Linked DNA regions of Struthio camelus. The protein of the gene in region 2 interacts with the protein of the main gene of each other region in a pairwise test. Links are inferred from orthologs where the notes say so. Each region holds a gene or a part of one and is shown on either strand. Other genes may lie near its edges. The genes, in order: BMAL1 and NPAS2.

Evidence for each region.
Region 1: the proteins of NPAS2 (region 2) and BMAL1 interact in binary tests that used the Homo sapiens proteins (3 or more experiments, as listed by UniProt). The link is inferred for Struthio camelus from reciprocal best matches to the Homo sapiens genes NPAS2 and BMAL1.

The regions. Positions count from the first base shown.
Region 1 is NC_090946.1:25,520,334-25,528,416, forward strand, and holds the start of BMAL1 (basic helix-loop-helix ARNT-like protein 1), read left to right. Parts: upstream 1-5,029; 5' UTR 5,030-5,129; exon of another isoform or gene 5,130-5,266; intron 5,267-5,649; exon of another isoform or gene 5,650-5,797; intron 5,798-8,083. UniProt on the Homo sapiens protein: Transcriptional activator which forms a core component of the circadian clock.
Region 2 is NC_090942.1:152,094,483-152,101,923, reverse strand, and holds the start of NPAS2 (neuronal PAS domain-containing protein 2), read right to left. Parts: upstream 3,046-7,441; 5' UTR 1,910-3,045; coding exon 1,632-1,909; intron 1-1,631. UniProt on the Homo sapiens protein: Transcriptional activator which forms a core component of the circadian clock.

The DNA.
Region 1 (8,083 bases), on a different chromosome or scaffold from region 2:
GAAGCCTTATTACAATAATACAGTAAGCTTTGCCCAACTGGAGTATTCTTATTCTGCTGAAATGCAGGAACTGACGCTGAACAGAATTTCTTTCAGTGCTTCAAGCATACCACCGTTGAAGTGAAGTTGCCACTACTCTCCTAAAGAAACAGGCTGGATGAGAAACGAAAAGAGCTAGCTATAGATTTTCTTGATAGTAAGAAAGAAACAGATTACTCTGATTCAAGGATGCAGTGACAGCAGACCATACAAAGCTGTGACATCCCCTTCCCGAAAAAGACAGTAAGACTCCACACTGGATCTTTCTGTCCTCAATAAACGATGAAGTAATGTGGCCATCAATTTCAAGACAGTCAGATAGGTCAGATAGGACTAATTCTATTTTAACAAAATTGCTGATAGAAACTTTTTTGGAGGCAAAAATCTTACAGTAATTCACTTCAGGTTTTTCTATGATGCTTAAATATAAGAAAGGAATATGGTGTTGGATCAAGATCATTATAAGGATGGTTAAAGTTTTTTATGTATCAACAAAAATGGTAAATAAATCTTTAGTATATATTTTGATAAAATCTTAGAAAAAAAGAAAAATATTAAAGATAAGCCTCTGATGGAAATTTTTTCTTATTTAATTTAAGGTATTCTCTTCAATAAAATTTAAAACAGCTCTGCTTCAAGTTGAGATACTTCCAGTCTCTGAAAAAAACAGACCCTGATTTGGCCTTGAAATTAACTCCGTATCTTTGTAATGGAGCAAAAAAATTGAAATCAGTTTGACCTTTGTAAGTTTAAATCCAAATAAAGATACAAATGCTTTTTTATTGGGCCTTCCATAAACATCGAAAAAATATTGCAGAGAATTACTTACAATTTCTGGTCTTAATCTCATTTTCCTCATTAGATTCTTCTTCCTTTTCCTGTTACGTTGCCAGATACTGGATTGCCAACTCTTGAGAGTTCCTACTGAATCTCAGAATATTAATTGGTGTTCTTAAGAGACCACAGGGCTGAAATCAACAGATTGTGTAAGAATCTTCTTTCTCTTTTTTCTCAAATGAGCTTCTAGCTCCTGTAACTAAGACAAAGGTTTTAAAGATGAAAAATGGTTTTTAAAATCTCAGAAAGAAGCAAGCACATGAAAAAGTCTGTATTTGTTACTTTATATTTAGTGATTTTTAATGCTCAAATTTGGAAATATTGTGGCAGGAGTAAGTAAGCAGTTTTAAAGTGACAAGTGTTTATACAAACAAAAACAGGAAAAGCTTATACTTCCCGACCTTAGGTGTTGTAATATATTAAGAATTTGAAGAACCTTGAAAAGAATGATTAAGCTATTGCTCACTGAGACAAAACTTCTGTTTTAAAGAGGAAGTTTAAGCCAGCCACACATGAGTTGTGACAGACTATAATAAATAGACTATCCCTGTGAGTTTTTTGCAACCAGTTGCAAAATGATACTGAGCCATAGCACTCAGTTCTCACAACTGAGTTGAAGCACAGCATTACCTTTGTATGAGAAGGTGGGAAATGTGGCTCAGTATGTCTCTGGCTTCTTTTTAAGTATATACAGAACAAGAAATCCAAGTATCAAGTTATTAAGTCTTGCTAATTTTCTATGAGCTATAAATTCTCCTGCTGCTACTTAGATCATAGCCTGGATGTCACAGTAAATTTCCAAGAATCAAATAGAGGAAGAGACTGGACAGAAGGGTAAGACAGAAGAGTATAATAATAGGGTTATTATTTTAGGTCAAAAGATCTATAAACAAACAGCAGATGTTTAAAATGTTGTAAAGCAGCTACATCCACATTTATGTGCTAATATATATATATAATATGTCTTGGAAAACATTACAAAAATAAATATATAAAATGATATTTCCAAACTATCTTATACAAACTCATTCTCCAAAGACTCAGAGATTTGTCTCCCTCTGTATCTCCAATTGGGGTCATGAATCATGATTCAGAAAAAACACAACTAAAACTTCAAAGAAATAATTTGGCAGGTTACTTCTGAATTTCTGAACATCTGTTGTTGTTACACAGACATATTGGGCACTGTCTGAAGGTAAAGAAAAATGTTCTCAACTTTTGGGTAATGGTTTGAGAAATTAGACTTCTTTTTGTGTATGCAACAATAGTTGGATACAAAAATTAGATGAAAACTTGCAGATTCTAAAATGAAGCCACTGATATATTGCCTCATTATATCTAAAATAAGCTGTATTTCATGGAGATTATACTCCCTACTCTTCTTGATACAAAGTCAAAAATCTAGGAATAGGGAAGATTACTATAGCCTTCAAATGTGAAAACAATGAAGAAAATGAATAGGTGGGAACACAGGCTAGTAGTTTCAATAGTCTATTAATAAATGCAATTTTCGGTACAATCACCACACAGCAGACTCTCCTCCCATTTTTAAACTGTAATGTTAAGCCAGAAATTAGTCTAAATTCCAGTGTTTAAGTAGGGTGTAACCTACTTATGCATATCGTTAAAGAGGCAGTTAAATTTCTGCTTAAGGTCTAGTTTACTATCTTCTCTAAAATAGTGTAAAACCTGAAAATTAATCAGGTCAGAGTCAATCAGACAAATCAGAAGCACAGCGCCCTGAGCAGAACACACCACTGAGCAGGTCTTTCAAGCATGGTCCACATTTTGTGGTGTGATCTCACCTTCAAGTACTCCTTCAAGTACTCTCCATTAAGGAAAATGTACCTATCATAGATTTGCTCAAGCCTCATCTCCTGTTTACTTTTCGTGCTTATAAATGGGTAGTAGAAGGGTGAAGCAAACTTTTCTGCCAATAGTAGTGAACTCAGATCTCATCAAATGTCAAACTGTCATTTCTTAACTCTTCAGTGATAAACTTTGCATGCTTAACATTTTAAGCTGTAATAGTCATCTATAAAATGCTTTATTGACATACAGAGAGAAGTTCCCTGCATGGAACTTAAAGATATAATCTGTTAAAAAAGAAAGGTATAGAATATGAGTGAATATGAGTGGTAATATCATCATATGCTGAAAACAAGGATTTGATTCACCAGATGCTGTTACTTTCTTTAATATCTCATGAATAGAAAGTACAGTATATAAACAAATCAAAATAATCATTTACTGGGAAATTATGACATGCGGCCCACTAAGCTGCTTTCCTGCAGAAATAACTAAAGATCATTACTCTTGGCATCATTCCCTACAACAGTCACTGGGCTCATTAAAAGAGACAGTATGTGACTGAGTGTATAAGGAAGATTTTTTCTACAGGTGGGTAGAAACAATGATGAAAACTACAAAGGCTTGTGAGAAAGAAGTAGTCAAGGAGATTTCTCCACCTCCATAACTTCTGCGCACTAAAACAAATGGAAGCAATAACAGCAAAACAGTCCCCGAGAACTGATGCATTGTGTCCTTTTTTCACGGTACACATTTTCATTTGGTTAATATATGATATGCCATTTACCTTGCTCTTCTGGAAGGTTGTTCCTTGAGTAGGAATATCATGATGTGAATAGGAAGTTGGCATCCAACAGGGGCCACTTTTTGGCTGTGCTGAGTTCCAGGTCAATTAGGTGGAAACTAAACCTTAATGCTGTCATAGGTTGAGTTCACATTCTGTGACAGTGGATTAGAATAACCACAACTGCATTGTAATTAGATAATACCGCTACCCACACTTCTCTGGTGATGTGGTATTAGTAAATATAAACCAAACATTTGTGACACGTCATCCCAAGACAGGAAATGTCAATGTTAAGACAATGATAATGTGGCAATGACAATCTGACGTAGTAATAAAACAGTAACATTTGAACAACATTTGCATTTGATTGCAACTACGTTGTAACTTCGTTCTTGCAACACATCCCCTTAACATGCCAGCGTTGTCGCATGGATGATGGTTTTCCGACTCAATTATTAGAAGATATCTAAGTTCGCACTATAAAATGGTGTAGTGGACGGCTTTACCATGCTCTGCCACTGGCCTTTTTAAACACCGAAAAAAATTATTGCAGCTTACAGTGCATTAGAGAGTCACATTCTGAGATGACATAGCATTTATGGCAGTAAAACTGAGGGCAGCATCGTACATGTGCTTCTGTGACATTCTGAAGGGTGCAGTGAAGAAGGAGGTCTCATCAAATATGATGTGCACGTGATGCAATAGCAACTTATAGATGTCATATCATATACAAGAACATATACATACAATACAGCAACGTGAGGCAGATACAATGCTGCGGTTTGCTAAAGAAGGTGGACGTCATTGAGAACGACCTTGCAGTCTACGGATGCAGCCGAGGAGGCAGTAGGATAGAAGGAGCATAGCATGACAGGACAATCATGGTCAGGTCATGCTGAAAAACAGCGAGGGCAGGGAGTCCATGCTGGAAGAGTAATGAGGCACATGCCTGTCTGCCCCGAGCTGGGCAGCACTGCCTCTGGCCAGCTGTGAGAAGCCCCCAGCTCCGTGAGGCAACAAGGATGCTGGAGGTGGCCAGGCCTTAGCTGCCGCCACACAGGCCGGCATGGGCCCTCGCTTTGCCACGGCAGCGGATGCTGGGCCAGAAGGTGGGGAGGGCAGGCCTAGAACAGGCGGTCGCAAAGTGCAGCAAGGCCGAGTGACGTCACGGCAGGCCGCGGTGACCTTGATGCTTCAGAAGTGACGCCACGGCACGGGACGATGTCACACCAATGACGTAGAGCCACGGGTGAGTCACGGCGGCGGCAGTGAGGCTGCTGAAGGGAATAAGGACGAGCAGCTCGCAGCACAGCGCTCCGCCCGCCGCTGCGCGCACCACCAGGGAACACCACAGGAGAAGCAACCGCCAAAACCGCCACGCCGCGAGCGCCACATCCGGGTCCCCCGCGCAACCGCCCCCCCCCCCACCGCGCACGCGCCTCCCCCGCGGCTAGGAGGCGGGACTGAAGGTCCCAGCCGCCTTTCTGATTGGCTGGCTTCTCGGGGGCGCCCGGGGATTAGCTGCTGTTTAGGAGGGCGGGCGTTGCCTGCCCGCCTGGCCGGCCATTGGGCAGAGCCGCCGGAGAGCCGCTCGCCCGTTGGCGGACCGGCGCGTCCGGTCCGGGGCCGAAGGAGGGTGCCATTGGCTGGAAAGTAGGTTAGTGGTGCGACGTTGGGTGGCAAGCCAGGCGGAAAGTAGGTCAGGGACGGGGGCTGCCTGCGCCGCGCGCCGCCGAGGGACAGCGACCCTCTCCTCCCCCCGCCCCCTCGGCCGCGGGGGCGCGTGAGCCCGCGGTGAGCCGTTAGGCGGCCGGTGGGCGACCGTTTGGGGGGCGCGCGGGGGGGGGGGCGGGGGAGAGGGGCAGTCCGCGGCTCGCGCTGGCGAGGTGGCGGGGGTCGCCCCCTGGAGGGCGGGGTTGGCCGGTCCCTCCGCTGCCCCGCTGGAGCTGCCGCCTGCGGCAGGCCACGGGGGAGCTGCCCGCCTGCGCCGGGGGAGGCGGGGGCTGCGACTTCTCCGCGGGGAGGTGGCCGGGCCCGGGCGGCGGCGGCGCCCCTCGGAGCGAGGGGGGCGAATGCGGCGGCCGCGGCGCGGGCCGCCTCGGTGCGGCGGGAGCCGGAGAGGGCGGGGCGGGGCGGGACGGGACGGGCGGCAGCCGCCTCCGCCGTTTGCAGCCGGCCCCGGCCCCTAGGGCAGAGCCGGGGCCGTGGGGTCCTGGCGACGGCGCCTCCTTGGGAGTAAGGAAGGGGCAGGAACGGGGCTCCTGGAGCTCGGGGGTGGCAGCGCTAGCTCTGCTGCTTCCCATCTCGAGTTTGCCTCGTCTAAGGGTGAGTGTGTGGTGGCTGAGGTAAGTCACGGAGTAGCGAGAGGTTGGTGCTCCCTCCCCTGCAGCAGGGATGGGTCCCCTCGGCCTCTGTCCCGCAGGTGATCCCTTTGATCTTTGTCAATGAATCAGGTGCCCTGCGTTGAAGCCAGCTTTATGTGGGGCGCGAGGAGTGTATGTATTTAACACCTCAACGACGGTGGTAGTTGGAAATCTCGATAGACTGTGAGTCTCTGACACGGAGGCCAGTCCTACCTGCAGACAGCTAGAGCCACATGGAGAGCCGCTGTGGGATTTCTTGCTTTTACTAACAGTACAGCCCAGTTACCTCCTCTCCTTGTGAGATGAATGTTTTATGGTTAAGTTAGGGTCCTCAGGCTGTCCCGTCTGGTGCTGTTACTTCTCAGCCCTCTGTGTCTGACAGCCGTATGTGTATCTTTTGCTAAGAAGGAACGTTTTTCTTTGAAAGTGAAAGTAGAATACTGACAACAGTTAAAGTGGCTTCTTGCGATCAGGATTTCGTTTTTTTATTTTTGTGGAACAAATTGTGTTTTTCATGACTGAAGTTTCTGTTATTCCAATGCCTCAATTATACTAGCTTTATAAACCTCTTAGTACCTGAAAATAACGTTGTAGTATTTTTACAAGAAGCAAGTGGGTGTGTTTGCTTGTTTTTGAAGTAGATATACTATTAGCAGTTTTTAAGTAACTTGCTTAGTATCTGGGGTAGAAAAGGGCGACTGCAGATAGCTGTCATCTTTGTAAATGATTTTGAACTCCAGTTTCTTTGTAGAATTCATTCAGGCTTTAAATAAAAATTTCTTCCAAACGTTGGTCCTTAAACATTCAAAATGAAGCTACTTCTTAATTTGTTTTTGATAGGTTAGCATTAAAGTAGCCTATTCTGCCTGTTTACTATAGTTTGGTTTTTTTAATTGAAGAGGTCTTGTAAATGGGAGCAATTGATAATGCATAGACTGCAGCCAGGTCTGTAGGGGGAAAAAAGAAAGTTGTTTTGTTTGCTTCAATTGACTATTAGTACTGGCTAACTGTCTTTGTAAATAGTCTAGCAGAAGGCTGAGGTTAAACATTGCTCCCCGAAGAATGTGGATGTTTGGTATTTGCAAGGGTATGCAAATGTAAATCATTATTTGAAGCGTCAGAAGCTGTAGAGCTCTCATATGACTATTCTAAACCAGTATTTGCCTATTAAGAGGAAAGCTTTTCCATCTTCTAAGCTTTGTGGTTTTATACTTCTCATGACCATTCATGATTTTATGCCTACTTGTGGAAATGGACTGTAAAATAACCCAATAAAATGTTGTGGTTATAGATTAATATATTGTTTCATCCTGTATTCTTTTACACAGCCTATTTCCATTGTCTGTCCCCATCACAGTTTCAGAGGATGGTATCTAGTAAGCTCGAGGTCTGTGTTTTTCTTTTTTTTTTTTTTTTTTTTGTTTTCTTGAAAGAAAAGAACAGTACATCTAGAGATTACATGAACGAGAGGGGAACACCATAGAGAACCTAAGGATAACTGCTTTATTTTGTTCTTCCCTACAAGGGCCTTTGGGGGTGTCAGGAGATTAATTTAGATGTAGCTGGGATTCTGCAAAACCAGAGCTGAAGTTAGGGCCTGCCACCACCTGCTATTAAGATACCTGCTGTATTTGGGAACCTTTGCCAAGGCCAAGAAGGTGATATTTGTAGGGGCAGTTTGTTGGAGATATTTTTTTCTTACAGATACCTGTTTTTGAAGATTCTTTTGATGGCAGGAAACCAGGGACAAGCATGGAAAGAGTGGAGAGTATTATCTTTCTACAGTAAAGAGTAGGAACAAATGAATGTTCACAGGATTTTCGTGGTAGAGCTTAGTTCTACACAATGCCTTAATACTATGCAAGACTGATGGAGCTGAAACCTAATACGATAGCTGCAGCCTGTGTGCTGCAGACGAATGAGACAGTCTTTAAAAGTGAATTGCTATCAAGCACAATGAAAATAATGAGACACCTGTAGGTTAATCAGTTTATATGATTACAAAAGCACTGGTTTCATGCTCTATTTGAGCGTTTTAAGTTGTTTTCAATGTAGACCTAACTGTATATGATAATATTTTAATAGGAGGTATAGGAAAATCTGAAGGAATTCATTGTTATTGAGTAACCCAGGCTGAATTTGGCAGATTGGTTAGAGGTGGGTTTTTTGTTTTTGTTCTATAACTTCTCATTTTTAGCTTTTATCATCAGTTTTGCACTTAGTTCTGCCTTTGAACAAGGGCAGAAAA
Region 2 (7,441 bases):
TTTAAGCTTAGCAGATGCATAAGCACCTGAAACCAGAGCATTATACTGGAGAAGTACCAGATAAGATTAACTGTGGGCAACATTTCTACCTATGATAAAATAATGATTCTTACTCCAAGTGAAATGAATTCAAGTGTTCTTGCATGCCCTGGCCTAGAAAATGGGGCATGAGACATAATTCTGTGAAGTGCAGTGTGTGGGTTCAGCCTTGCACACATGCAGAGCAGCACCTTTATTCTTGAGGAAAAGTACTTTTAGGCAAGTCTACTGTCGGCATGGTTTGCGGTAGGTTGTAGAAATGCTGCTGGCTTGGGGAATCACCCTGGCGTCCGATACCTGGTTTTGAAAAAACTTAATTACACATGCTCAATGGGGATGGTGTATAGCTTGGCAATTACATTCTCTGAAGATTGCTGTTTCCAGGCCATCCCTGCAGAGCAACTCCGTGTCAATATTCATTTACAGAAATGTAGGCAGGATTGGGCCCTTAGCCAGCCGACAGCTTTCAGAACCAGATACGGATCAGCGGATGAACCGGCTCCGTCCAGAAACTGTGAACGCTGATTATTTAGTACCACCAAACAAACTCCAACCACGGTGGGGTACAAATTAACATTTCACGCAGGGGTAAGAGCGAGAGAATTTTCCACTTCAGGATCCAGCCACTTGTTGAGCGTGCGCCGAAAGCTCACGTTAGCCATGCTCCTCCGGGGGAATCCCATAGCCCTTCTGGAGATTTAGCACCATGAAAAGATTAAAGTTCCTCTGCTGGCTGCAATGCTTATAACCGCTAATTATTTCTGAGTCACTTGAGTGAAAGTAAACTGCTATCCTGCAGACAGTTAAGGAGTACCCAGTAAAGTTTACGGATGAGCGTGCTTGCTAATTGCCAAATCAGACTAGCGACCATACAGGAAAGCCTCACCGCACAACTCCGCATGAAAGACGTGCCGTGTTGCCGCTCGGCCGTGTATTTAACATTTCTCCCCCCCCAGTTCTGCGCACGAAAGGAAAGCAAGCAGGAGCCTGGCACACGGTTTCAGCAGCAGGGCTCCTGCAGCAAAGGACACAACCTCTGGTCCCCACCACGAACCTTCACCCATGCAAAAATCCCATTGCTCTTACTGGAAGTTTTCCTCGCCTGAACCGTGCCAGGTCCCTTCTCAGCCCCTGCGCCGGTCTAGCCTGAACGAGCCTATGGCGGCAGCAAATTGCAAACTACACCAAAACGAGATGGGGGCGGGGGGCATTTTATTTCGCTCAGACTGATGGGCCAAGCCTGCTCTGCACCAGGTCTCGCTGGCGGCCGGGCCAGGCCGCATGGGCCCGTCCCCGCAGGGACCGGCTGCCCCCAGCGCGGGCCACGCGGAAACTTTCCCGCGGCGGAAGCGATGCCGCCCGCGCCGCCGGACACGCTGCTCCCCCCTCTCCCCCCGCGCGGGGAGCGGCGCCGACCCCAAACCACCCTGCCGCGAAGAGGGGCGCCGCGGGGCCGGCCCTTACTCACGGAGCCCGGGAAGAGCGCGGGAGGTGGGGGGGGTGCGAGCGCGGCGCGTGGGCGTCCTGCGTGGGCGCCGCGGGTGGACGCGGCGGGGGGGGGGGTCGGTGCCGGCGGCAGGGCCGCGCGTTACCTGGGGTGCCGGGGCTGCGGGAGGGCGGCGGGGAAGCCCCAACCGCCGCCGCCGCCGCCGCTGCTGCTGCTGTCCGCGGTGGCCACCTGGGCGCGGGAGCCGCCGGTGCCGCCGCTTTTCCGGTGCCTGCCGGTACCGCTGCGGCAGCGGCCGCCGCTGCTGCTCCAGCCGCTCGGCAGGCCGGCCTCGGGAGCCGGCAAACTCTTCCTCGCAGCCGACGAGCCGGGGACGCTGCCCGCCGCCGCCTGCCTGCCGCCGGTGCCGGTGCCGTGTCTCATGGTGCGCGGGGCCGCCGCATGCCGCGCTGCCGCCTGCCCGGGCGCCGCGGGACCCACGCGCGCCGGGGCCAGGGGCTCCGCCGGCAGCGGGAGGCCGCCGGGAGCCCGGGCTGCTGCCGAGGGGGGGGGAGGAGGAGGAGGAGGAGGAGGGGGAGGAGGCCGGGGGGGACCAGGGGGGCTGCTGGCTCGGGCTCCCGCTGGTGCATTAAGTTAAATGCGCGGCCGGGAGGGGCAGGGCGGGCGCGGGGACTGCGGGGCCGATAGTTCTCCGCAAAGTTGGAGCCCCGCGGGCGAGGCGGGGGCATCCTCTCCGCGGGTCCTTCATCGCCGTCCTCCTCCTCCTCCTCGTCGTCGTCGTCGTCGTCGCCGGCGGGCTGCCGCCCCGCACCCTCAGCCGGCGGCGCTGGGGGGGCGCGCCCCACGCCCCGCGCCCATGGGGAGCCGCGGCCGCGGGGGCTGGCGGCGGCGCGCAAGGGCCGTGCTCGCCCGCGCCGGCTTCCTCTCTACCAGGGAAGGAAAGGGGTGGGGGGGGGAGCCCAAACCCGACGCTTGTGTGCAAAATGGGTCAGGGAGGGGGGAAAAGGGGAGCTGCGGATTGCGTGCCCCCTCCCCTCTTTGGAGAGCGGCGGGCTTTGGGGAGGGACGGGCTGGGGAGGTGGGTAGCGAAAGGGCTGCAGAGGAGCTCTCCCTCCCCGTCTCCGTTTGCACAAGTGCAGGGAATGTTCCACTGACCTACATATTTTTCCAAACATACGTGACCTTTTTTTTTTCTCTCTCTCTCTCTCTCTCTCTCTCTCGTTCTGTGGGAGGAGACAGGCGAAGATCCAAGAAAAGGAGAAGCTGGAAAGAGAACGAAAGGGGAAGCAGGGGAAAAAAAAAAAAATCAACCAAAAACCCAGCCCGAAATCAAGGATGGTTTCGCAACGCCTCGAGCAAAGCCCGGCGTGCCTGCATTTACGTATGTCTATAGCTATAACCCGGCGGTCACCGGCGGCCGCCCCTATAGCCTGACCCCAGGAGGCGCCTCCACGCCAGCCGCCCACGGTGCCGCCGTCCCCGCCGGGCAGGGCTGCGCCCAGGTGCTCTGCTGCCCGGGGCTGCCGGCCCGGCCCGGCCCGGCTCGGCTCGGCTCGGCACAGCCCGCCCCGGCTGGCACGGCTTCGCCTGGCGGACTGCGGACACCCACTCCCCCCGCCCCAGCCGCTCGCCCCCGGGCAGGGGCAGGCAGCCCCGGCCGGCGGAGGGGTGACCGGGGGGCGGCCCCGGCTCCGTGCCCGTGGGTGGCCGCGGGAGCCCAGCCGGGCCGGGCCGGGCCCCGCAGCACGGCGCTGCCCCGGGGCAGGCTCTCCGCCTCGCCGGGCACGGGGCAGTAATTCCCGATTTGGTTATGCAACGCCGTACCGGCAATTAGAGCAAAACCTTGACAGAGAGCTGCTTTTTTTTTTTTTTTCTCCCCCCAAAGTAGGTCATTCTTTTTATTCCCCACTTTGCATTATTTTTGCCTAATACTCCTCCTGAAACGTAGCCAGTGTGAGATAAGGAAATATGCTGGAGCCTAGGAGGGGCCGTTTATTTTGGGGCTCGCTTTCTCCCCGCTGGGCAGTCAGTCCTGCTGTCTTCTGCCTGGGGCAGCGAGCAAGGCCGAGGGGCTGCCCCCCGGGACAGGAGGGCAGCAGTGGCAGCGGCGTGGGGACACGGCACTGCCCCCCTCATTTCCCTGGTGTGTGCCGAGACCCGCTGCTCCGGCACCTGCCGACAGCAGCAGGAGCCGGGGCCGGGAGCCCTGCCACCACGGCCGGCTCTGCAGGGAGCCCGGGCTTCACCCCTTGCCCCGCAGCCCCCGCCACACCCGGGGCTCCCGGCTCTGCTCTGTGTCTGCACGGCCAAAAAAACCCATTGCTCTGCTGGAGAAAGGCCTGGAGTAGGTACTTCTTGCACCTGCCAAAGGGTTGGCCTGCTAGCACGAGGTATTTGCTTTTTAGGGTAGCCGTTTCTGTTGTTGAGAGCAGTGAGGAAAAGCCCCGTAGGCTGGTGCCAGCTGTGTCTCCACCAGCAGGTCCTGCTATACCTGTGGCAGCAGAGTTGGTGTGGTGGGAGCTGTTTCCCTTCTCCTTTGCTCTGTTCTGCCTCGTTATCAGAGACACGTTAAGCCATGTAAAATAATAGCCAGCAGAGACCTCTCTGCCCACACCAAGTCTGCCTGTGTGGGCGCAGTGTGTGGGTTGAAGGTTGCTCCAGCCACCTGGCTCCAGAAAAGAGCCTCGCGGCTTTGCACAGCTATATGGCCTTTGCAGCTACCCCAGTTATCCTGCGGTGACACCCAGCGTCCCCCACCCCACCCCCCCCCCCGCCGATGGCATATCTAGCTAGTTATATGATTTGATTTATTCCTGAACGCAAATGTTAATGATTACAAAGTATGGAAAAATGTTACGTTCTTTTAGCTGAGCACTTTTACACCACCGTACTTTATACAACAGGCATGACTAATGTTGAAAGGGTAACGTTGTTTACTTTTAACCAAGATTAAATACAAAACTTTGAAAGCTCCTCCCTTCCTTTGGATGAAACCCAGTATTTTTTCCCATTTGGAAATTGTCAAACAGTGGTTAAACAATCCTTTGGCAAACAAGTAGTGCCTGAGGGAATAAACCATCAGATACATGGAGAGTGGAATAAAAGACATTTCTCTTTCTGAGGTATTTTTCTTGTATTGCACAACGAAGTATAGCGTAAGATCTTCAAGCCTTGTAAGGTCAGAGAAGAGGAACTTCCCAAGATTATATATCACCTGCTTTGATATTCCAGTCCTTCTGAAAACAGAACAAAACCTTGCCCCCAAACGGCTATGCACTTTCAAAAACTGTAAAAACAAGTGCCTTAAGGTAAATACCATGCTGAGAAAGGCAATCTGCAAGACATAGGAGCACATATACAAAATTATACCTGTGCCTTACTTTAGCGTTTTCCCTGTAAATTCGTAATGACTTCATTGCACAAGTGAAAATGTGAAATTGGTTAAGGTTTGTTTATTAATTCATTCCCTAGGTTACCACAGTAAACTTTAATTAGGGCAACAATCAGCAGCTTGGCTGAGGGCAAGGCAGGGTTTTCCCAGCACATACCTGAGTTCCATTGTGAAACACTAACCATTCAAAACACACATAATTTTTATTAGACTAGTTACCGATGGGAAATAACAAAATACTGTCAGTGCTGTATTTTGTGTGGAAATTACCCAGAGGACTAGATGCCGCATATAAGAAATTGAGGGAAAGAGCCCAACGTTTTATTTTAAAACTTGAAAACATTTTATAGTCACAAAATGTCTGTAAACTACTTTTCAGACATCAGGAGTCTATGATCCAATGTAGTAATCCCTTTTGTTTTGACTAGAATAGGCTGGCTAACCTTCACCGCCCAGCAATGACACATCAGTGGTTGCAATGGCCCGGGAACCACAAGGTAGGTGCCTCCCAGGGTGGAGGGCCAAAGGGAAGAGCAGGAGATGACGGTAGCCCCCGGCCCCGGGGACCTCACTGCTCCATTGTGGAGAGTGCATGGGAGGGATGTGGAACCGGGTGCGATCACAGCCCGGACATGCTGTCTTTAACTCTGCTAGCTTACTTTCCCTCACTGCCAGGGATGTGAACTGTGCAGTGCCACCACCGCCACATGATGTAACCCTCAGCTTCACCCCCGTGAACATTTCTCAGCTGACAACCTGGAAGTCAAGCAGAGATATTACCTATGCGATATGAACGCTTTTAACATTTAATGGACCCAAGTATGTGTTGCTGAGAGGTGAAAGGCAATTTGTAACCAATATTTCACATATAAAGCCTATATTTGGATTAGTGCTTGTGCATATGTAAAAGGGGGCCCTCAAAATAATAATCCTGTAGCATAAGTAGCAAAAATGGCGCAAAAGTCATGGCATTGTGGGGCGAGGGGGATGATAAAAAAGAATAAAGGACCCTCAAAGAGAAGACCAGCTTGCACAAAGATATTCTCTTAAGTTTTCAATTAAGGAGGAAGAAGATGGACAAGGATTAACTTGTTTAATATTACCCTAGTATTAATTAAAGGATAGGACAGACTTCAGGCTGCTTGCTTCCCTACCTTCCATGTCAAAAGAAGCAGCAACAAGGATAAACCCAGGTCAAATAAATCTAGGGGCTTCTATTAATTGAAGCAGTTGCACAAGCAGTTCCTAGTGGGAAATACACTGCTTTCTAGCATGGAGGTGAGCATGGGAGTGGGTGGACAGATGTGAGGAGCTACTTCTTTGTGCAAAACACTTCTGTAACCAATTTTGGCAGAAATTTCTGCAGAGAGGAACACTTTCTAGAGAATCAGCACTACTTTTCAATCTGCAGCTTATAACTTCCCAAAGGAGGGAGAGATAGTACATATCAACCAGCAGCACAGCCTCTGAATCAAGGAAAGGCAGAGAGATGCCAGAGAGAAATGGACTTCAAATGTGGTGGTGCTGCTGCAAGAGTAAGATGTCTGATGGGTCTTCAGGCTCTGTTCAGCTAGCAAGCCGAACTCCTTGTTTTTCTGCACAGTTATTAAAAGAGAAGAACCGATTTGTTGATTTGACCTTTCTTTAGCCTTTTCAAGCAAAATTTTATCCATTCCCAAGGTTTTCACAGAAGAACATAGTATAATAGGCAACCTACCTGAAGGTTTGATTTTTCCATCTTATGCAACCAAGGGTTTGCAGGTTTTCTTTAAGTGGTTAGTGCAAGGAGCGGGGAAAGGAAGAAGGCATGGGCTGAAAAAATCAGCGACTAAATATTGAATAGATTTCATGTCTAGAACATCTGGAATTGTTGCTGGGGGTGAAGAAAGCCTTAAAGCCTACCAGGGCCCTACAGTCCGGTGGCTGAGCATTTACAGCCTTCCTGTGAAGTGAAGCAGTCCTGGAGCCTGAGCTGTACGTATGCATTCAATTGCCATGGAGCGTACTGCATGTGTGTGGCAGCTCGGAGAGCCAAAGCTCAAGGCTGCGGAAATAATTGTTCCTCGTGTGTGAAAGATGAGATGATCCTCTCATTCTCCGGCTGACAATGCCCTTTGTTCCTGTGGACCTCTTGGCCCATACGAGACATTTCACTCACTCCCGCCAGGATGGGAATACGTCCCATGGCAAAGTCCTGTTTCAGAGGGACTGCACTGGTTAATACGGAATAATGGCCTGGCAGTACCTACGAGAAACACTCAGTTCCAAAATCAGGCTGATTGAGCTTGTTTAGCTTTGACAGCTGTTCAAGAAAATGAAGTTCAATTTCAAACCCTAGAGAAAAGGATCTGCTATTTTTCTCTGGAAATCACAATGAAACAGAAGATAATAAAGGGTTATAGTGCCACAGTCTTTGAATTAAGAATGGCTGGGAGAAGTCTGAACACAGATGTAGCATCTGCAGCCTTACCTCGACTAAGAAAAACAACTGCATTAATTTGGGGCTCAGGTAGTATTTTTTGGCAAGGCACAATCCCTATGGATCCATGCAAATATTTCAATTG